Linked DNA regions of Mus musculus. The protein of the gene in region 1 purifies or fractionates together with the protein of each later gene. This does not show direct contact. Links are inferred from orthologs where the notes say so. Each region holds a gene or a part of one and is shown in the gene's direction. Other genes may lie near its edges.

The links.
Region 2: the proteins of Rab40b (region 1) and Cul5 purify together in Homo sapiens (affinity purification with mass spectrometry; 5 studies listed by BioGRID and IntAct, counting the BioPlex papers as one, with this or other methods). This does not show direct contact. The link is inferred for Mus musculus from reciprocal best matches to the Homo sapiens genes RAB40B and CUL5.

Annotation. Positions count from the first base shown.
Region 1 is NC_000077.6:121,385,449-121,389,674, reverse strand, and holds the start of Rab40b (ras-related protein Rab-40B), read left to right. Parts: upstream 1-1,423; 5' UTR 1,424-1,532; coding exon 1,533-1,677; intron 1,678-2,470; exon of another isoform or gene 2,471-2,530; intron 2,531-4,226. UniProt on the Homo sapiens protein: RAB40B small GTPase acts as substrate-recognition components of the ECS(RAB40B) E3 ubiquitin ligase complex which mediates the ubiquitination of target proteins.
Region 2 is NC_000075.6:53,657,488-53,661,007, reverse strand, and holds part of Cul5 (cullin-5), read left to right. Parts: intron 1-2,327; coding exon 2,328-2,437; intron 2,438-2,822; exon of another isoform or gene 2,823-3,050; intron 3,051-3,520. UniProt on the Homo sapiens protein: Core component of multiple cullin-5-RING E3 ubiquitin-protein ligase complexes (ECS complexes, also named CRL5 complexes), which mediate the ubiquitination and subsequent proteasomal degradation of target proteins.

The DNA of each region.
Region 1 (4,226 bases):
AAGTAGAATTTATCTAATACACTCTAGTGCAGCTTTAGTTGGCAAATCAATAGGGAAAGGCTGTCTGGACTCAGACATTCTAAAGCGCTCTCTCTAAGGAAGGTTTTTCTGTGTGGGCGATTGTTGCCATGTCATGGTCCTCTGAAATAATTACAGCTCAGGTATTCTTGGTTAGCAACAGTGTAATCTTGAGTCAAAGATAGTATTCTGAGTCAAAAATGGCTCAGCGAGACCATCCATTCTAGCTGGGTAGTGGTGGCCGATGTCTTTAATACCACACTCAGGAGGCAGAGGCAGGCAGATCTCAAGACCAGCCTGATCTACAAAGCCAGTTTCAGGACAGAAAGGGCTACTCAGGGAAACCCTGTCTCGAAAAACCCTATCTCAATTACCTATTCTAGACTGGCAGCCATATCTTGTAATTAGAGCTTATTATAGTCAACTCTTTGAAAGGATAGTGTTCCTGCAGGGAGGCAGCGGTCACCTTGCTCCAAGACCAGCCTGTTCTGAGCCAAACCGGCCTTGTCCTGAATCACAGCACAGCTGTGGCGCTTAGAACAATGTTCACAAATGCTTTCGTAATTTTCATCCACTGCTTTTTCTTTTCCATCCGGAAATGTATCCTTCTTAACAGAGAGGAGGCACGATTGCAAGAGGTGCTTCCACTTCAGGTTGTATAAAGATGTAGGTAGCGGGGATGCTAAACTATGATTACTCTAAATAACTTAGTTCCCACTGGTGAGGTGCTCCTGAACAGAGAGCAGATTCACTGCTCCCTTGGGGTAAAAGAGATCAGAGACAGACAGGTCCCCGTCATGTGCTCTCTGACAACAACCTCACAGGCACACGATGCACACACACACACACACACTCACACTGACATGCATGGACAGAAACCCGTGGAGACCTCGAGGCACCCACTAGCAGACACCTTTAGAGGTGCACTTGTCCATGTGTCCACTTGGTGCTGAAACTCACAACTACCTGTAACTTTAGTTACATCTGATGCCTACATGAACACATGAACATGCTAAGCTCTCACGCTAGCATTCAAAGCTCTGTGGAGCTGTGGGACAAATTCTCGTTTCCAGGCAGGGATTCAACACTTCCCACACCAATCTGGAGCCAACTCCTGTTACGCACTGATACAGGGGAGGGAGTAAACACTGACCACGCCCCTCCTCTCTATGCCATTCTTCCATTGGTTTGCAGGAGCAAACCTCTCCCCCCCCCTTCGGTTTCTTCTGGCTCGGCCTTCGGACCTCCATTGGCTTAGGCAACAAGTCCTCCCAGGAGAGGCGGTGGGCGTGGTGCGGAGGCGTAAAGAAATAGATGGGCGAGCTTGCTAACCAATGAGCATGTGTATATACCTCAGCAACTGAGGCTCGCCAATGGCAAGGTAAGGTGGGCGGGGCTCTTCAGCTGTCAAGCTCCCCCGACCGGTGGAGCGTTCGAGGGGCCCGCGGCGCTCGGGGACCCTCCGCCGCCTGCGCGCAGCCTTGGGCCGGTATGGGCGGGGTGGCTGGGCCGGCATGATGAGCTCCCTGGGCAGCCCGGTGCGGGCCTACGATTTTCTACTTAAGTTCCTGTTGGTGGGCGACAGCGACGTGGGCAAGGGAGAGATCCTGGCCAGCTTGCAGGACGGAGCAGCCGAGTCTCCTTACGGCCACCCGGCGGGTGAGCGCGGCTGCAGCACCCGGAGGCGCAGCGCTGGGGTGTCGGTGCGAGCGGCCTCTCCAGCGTGGGTCCCGGGAGCGGCTGGGCAGGGCTAGGAACCGCATGCTGGGGAAGACTGCGCTCTGTGGACGGAGTCCGCAAAGCAGCTCAGGGTGGTCGTCGAGGGACATCGCAGGTGCTAGCTACGTGTTCGGAGAAGTGTGTGGGATTACAGGAGGCGTGGGCAGAGAGACAGCGGTCCACGGAGCTGAGGTCTGAGACCACAGTCTCTGAGGCTATGACCTTTTGGTGCGTGGAACTGCAAGCAGAGAGTAGCAAGACTAGACTCCAGCCTTTGATTCCAAGCACTAAGCTCTGTGTCCTAGTGGACAGGACTTCCAAGAGGAGGAAGAGGAATCTAAGTGACCCTGTAGAATTGGCTAGGGTGTAGGAAGGAACCCAACTAAGAGACTGGAGTCCAGGAGACTGGACACGGGTGAGACCAGAGCGTCTCAGGCTCCAGGGCAGTGAGCAGTGAGTGTCCTAGAAGCCTGAAGTTTAAGATCTTGCACCCCAGAGGAAGGAGACAGAGTGGCAGAATCCTGAGCAGAACATCCAAGAATAGTCACGTAGTGATCCATCCCTTTGACTGTGGCTGTGCACAGACTTCAGTGAATGCCTATTGTGTTGTTGTGGGGGTTTCAACACACCTTTCTAATACAGACCCTGCCCTGAGGCCTGCCACCCTCTGTTCTTTGGGCTTGCAGACTGCTTCCTGCATCTCCAGCCCCCTGGCAATGCCACAAGGCAAGGCCCTAAAACTGTGTGGTCCAATGCCATTTAACTACCAGGTTGGACCGCACAGATTTAGACCTTTCCTTTAGGACAAAGCTCTGTTGGACAGCATTACTGCGAGAACAAGGGCGTGACTGAAGACAGGGCTGTCTTCAGGTCCTGGTGCTCAATGAAACACCCAGGCTTCAGCAGAGGCAAAAGAGTAAAACGTTTAACAAGCCCCCAAAGGGGACGTGAGTCCCACAGTAAATGACTGATGTGGGCAGAGAGAAAGATGTGGATGACATGTGAGCAGACTTGCTGCTGGTTGGCTTGAGCAAGGCCCACTGCACTTCTGTTGCTTTTGTCTGTTTTCTGTTGTCAACATGGTCTAAGAGATTGAGGAGAATTGATGCCGTAGTTGTGGCCATTGTGGCTTTTTGATTTACTACATATTTCTCTTAGGGCTAAGAAAAGAGCATGGGAAGAGCAAGCCAGGTATGGCAGCTCACACCTGTAATCCCAGCATTCAAGAAGCAGGGGGGTGGGGGTGGGGAATTGCCATGAGTTTGAGGCCAGTCTGTGCTACAGTATGAGACCCTGTCTGGGGAAAAAAAAACAAAACAAAATGGGAGGGAGTAAATTAGGGAGGGGAGATAAAAAAAAAAGCAGGAAAATAAACAAGTAGGGGTGAGGTAAACGTTATGAAGCTTGGGTCATTATTTTGTTATAAAGACATTCTCTCAGTCTCTGAGTGTCTCTCTCAGTGCTCTGGCAGTGGAAGATGCGGTCTTCCCGGCTTCATGCTCCACTCTCGGTTTCATGCTCCACTCTCTTCTTCCATGTCCGGGTTTTGTAGCCCACTTTGCAATTTCCATACTTCAGAGGTTTGGAACGCTCAGTTTCATTTTGTAGATCTAATACCGGTGCTCAGTATTCATGCAGTATTTAAATGAATTCAGAGCCAGGCATTGGTGGCAGCACGCCTTTAATCCCAGCACTCGGGAGGCAGAGGCAGGCGGATCTCTGAGTTCAAGGCCAGTCTGGTCTACAGATTGAGTTCCAGGACAGCCAGGGCTACACAGAGAAACCCTGTCTCAGAAAAAAAAAAATGAGTTCAGTGTTGGCTAACTCTTAACTATAGCTACTCCTGAGTTTAAAACCTTCTGAGTTGCTTGTGCTGAGACTATGTTGTCTGTCTTTGGCTGCACACAGTGTTCTTAGACTGTCCTGCTCTTTCCCCTCAATACCTGGTAACTTGTTCACAGTCTTTCTGGTATCTGATGTTGTTATGGTGAAAACATCATGCCAACTGATTTTCTAAATGGGAGATTTGCCTTTCTTTAGGAATTTTTGAAGACCGTTTTTCTTTGCCTTACCTTGCTTAATCAGGCCATGACTCAAAATTTTTGATATGTGTGTATTTTGAATTCTAGATAAAAAAAATTCCTTTCTTAATTTCAGAGGAATTTGATTTGTGTCCGTAAAATATCTCCCATTGCTTTTGTGTTGATTTCTCATTTGCTGTTACGAAAAATGACTACAAGCTGGCTTAAAGCAGCAAGAGTTTATCCTCTACGCAGTTTGGCATCAGTAGAACATTTCTACATGGAGCACAGGGAAAATGTCTTCTTATCTTTTTCAGCTTTCAGAACCTTCCTGCACTCTGGGGTTCTTGGCCCCTTTCTTGGTCTTCAGAGACATTGGCCTGTGATCTTTCTCAGGCCTTCTCTCTAACATGAACTCTCCTGCCTACTTTTTTTTTTTTTTGAAGATTTATTTTATGTATATGAGTA
Region 2 (3,520 bases), on another chromosome or scaffold:
AGCAGTATCCTTAAAAACACTTGTGTGGTCTGGCAGGTCAGACCAGCTACTAAAGCTCTTGCTGCCAGGCCTGAGAACTTGAGCTCAGTTCTCTGCAACTCTCACGGTAGAAGAGAGCCTACATTCAGGAATTGTTCTCTGACCTCCAAATGCACCTGCATAGGAAGATGTAAAGTAAATAGGTAGAACTGTAAAAAGTAAGCTATATAGAAACAAATCATGAGTTTCATAAAATAGTGCTACTTTACTAGAAAATGAATGGGAGGGGGAGGAGTCAAAAAAGAAAAGAAATGAATGAAATTTATTGGCCAGAACAAGTTGTATAAATACATTTAGCCTGAATAGGAGCTAAGCTCTTGACTGGTGCAAATGAGGTTGTTCCCTCTTTCTGTCTAGTACCTGACTAATTAATTTGTTTTTTCCTCCTAATAAGATACTATTCATAGGACAAAATGGTTAGGATGAACTAGTGTTTTCATATACTTATTTGATAGTGCTCATTTAAATCTTTGTATATGTTTCCTTTGTGTCTTATGCTGCTCTCAAATTTGATGTCAAGATTTTATTAGCATTGTAAGATGAAATCTTTTCTTTTGGCATTGATTTCAACCAACTGTGGGTCAAAGTACTTTTTTTAAGTACTTAAAAAAATTTAGACTTTTAAATGTATACAGATATTTTCCTTGTCACTTGGTAATTATTTATATAACATGATATATTAAGAATTAGAAGTAAGCTGGGTGGTGATGGCCTATACCTTTAAACCCAGCACTTGGGAGGTAAATGACTCTCTGAGTTTGAGGCCATCCTGGTCTACAGAATGAGTTCAGGACAGTCAGAGATATACAGAGAAACCCTGTCTTGGTCAAAACAAAACAAAACAGCAGGATTAAAGGTGAGTGGCACCACTGCCTGGTGGGCTTTTGTGGGTTTATAATGTTTTATTTTGTTTCTTTGAACTGGGTCTTTGTAGCTATAGCTTGTCCTAGAACTCACTATGTGGATCAGGCTGGCCTTGAACTCACAGACATTTATCTGTTTCTGTTTCCAAGTTCAGCCACCACACCCAGCCTCCCTCCCTCCCATTTTTAAAAACACATCATCCATGGACATAAATATTTTACATGCATGTATGTGTAATATGTGCATGATGGGGGTCCCTGAAGTCTGAAGAAGGAGTCAGATCCCTTAGAAGTGGAGTTGCAGAGAGTTGAGTTACCACCAATGCTAGCGTCTAGACCCAGTTCTTTGCAAGAGTAGTAAGTGCTGTTAAATGCTGCGCTCTCTCTGCAGCTGACAGCTTTACAGTGGGAAGAGTTGAGTACAGCTTCAGAATTAGAGGATTAAGTCTCTCTGTAAGATACCCATTCATTTTCAACACCAGAAAGACTCAGGCTTTACTGCAAGCTGGCATAATTACTGTTATTTGTTATGTAGCTGCAACATTCAGTTCAAGATCAGCTTAAGAGAGAGAAGTATAGGACGGAGTCTAGGAGGTCCCGAGTGTAGTTTCTGTTATCCTTCCCGTGGTCAGTGTATGACAATATACACAAATTATGCCTAAGGAAGCTAATCTAACTTTCTTCCTGTCCAATTTGTGTGGAATTTCTTCACAAAGACGAGAATGTTTATGTCCATGAGTACTTTGAACTCTACATTGACACAAAGCCCTTCTTTAAATTACATTGTTAATCTTTTAAATTGGCCAGCCCCACTTTTGAGACCATGTTGACCCTGCCAGTCCCCTACCAAAACTACATTTGTTAGCTAAGGTTCATTTTAGGTACACATTCCCATTGACCATGGATTATCTGCCGGAAGGAACCAAGAGGGAAGGCCACACTCTTTATAACAAATTCTTCCCTGTGCATTCCACTTTAATCTTAGTATTGCTGTCTGTTTCTTCCCCCTTCTCCTAGGATTGACCCCTGGGACTCACGCACAGCCTATAATTCTGACCTATAAATCAGCCCTGATTTGTGTTTATAGTTATCTTTGATTCCCTGCTATAAGATTAACCCTATAAGAACTCTTGTTTTGGAAAGGTATTTGTTTTAAATTTGATCTCTCTATTTTTCTGGGCTCTTTTTTTTTTTGGTTTTCGAGACAGGGTTTCTCTATAACCCTGGCTGTCCTGGAACTCACTTTGTCTGGCCTCGAACTCAGAAATCCGCCTGCCTCTGCCTCCCAAATGCTGGGATTAAAGGCATGCGCCACCACGCCCAGTCTCAGGCATCTTTTAAGAGATATTTTTAGATAAAAGTATGTGAAACTTTTGTATTTAATTGATTTAAAACAAGCCATATTTTATCTCTTTTGTTTTTAAGAATAAAGGTTCTCTCCAGTTTGAAGACAAGTGGGACTTCATGCATCCAATTGTTTTGAAGCTTTTACGCCAGGAATCTGTAACAAAACAGCAGTGGTTTGATCTATTTTCGTAAGTAATCCAGTAATTCTGTTTGTTAACAGTGGGTTTTGGTGGCTTTCCATACTGGATGGACAGTATGAGTTTAAGTGATAGGAAAACCTGTATATTGTTACTTAGTTGTGTTGGAGATTCCCAAGACAGAGTAGAGTCTAGGTTCCTTGACGTGCTAGGTGACCTTATAAGCCTGAACATACAGCGAAAAGACATATGGGTTGAAATTGGAAGATGTAAGGGGGAGATTAAGCACAGATTTCCAAAGGTCCTTTTCCAGGGGATTCACCTGGGACATTACGTTCTTTTTCTTAGATTAGTTTATCTCATTTTATGTGTATGAGTATTTTGCTTGCTTATATGTCTATGTAATATATGTGTTCTTGGTACTGGTGGAGGACAGAAGAAAGTGTTGGATCCCATGGAAATGGAGTTAGTGAGCCACCATGTGGGTGCTAGGAAATGACCTCGGGTCCTCTGCAAAAATAACAAGTGCTCTTAACTGCTGAGACATCTCTCCAGCCTTGGGACATTTAATTTCTTCAGCAGGAAGATTGAAAACATGTGATATGTTATCAAGAGTTAATGAAAGTGGCTATATAGTCATTCAAATTCTGGATTCCTAGGAAGAGTAAGTATAAATTCAGTAAAAATCAGGATGTTTGTGTTATCAGTTTAGATAAACTGAACCAGTGTTATCATTTCAGGAAGGTTTTATATAGATGTGGGAACCTGTCAGTTCTCAGATTTCAGTCTAAGGCTAACCTTACAAACAGATTTTTTTTTTTTTTTTAAGGAATTGAATCTCAGGTCTGCTTTGTTACTGCTTAGCCCTTGGCCAAATGTCTAGAGAACAGTTATTGTTAGAAGTCCCTAGGAGGCAGTGTAGCAAGTTTTAACAACCCTATTAATCACAAAGTTCACCTTAGAAGCCAAATGAGATGGTTTTCTCCTTCAGTTTCTATGTGAACAGTTAATTTAATTTAATATGTATGAGTGTTTTGCCTGCATATGTACAAGTACACAGTGTGCATTCCTGGTTCCTTTAGAAACCAGAAGAGTATGTCAGCCTCCATGTGGCTGATGGGAACTGAATCCCAG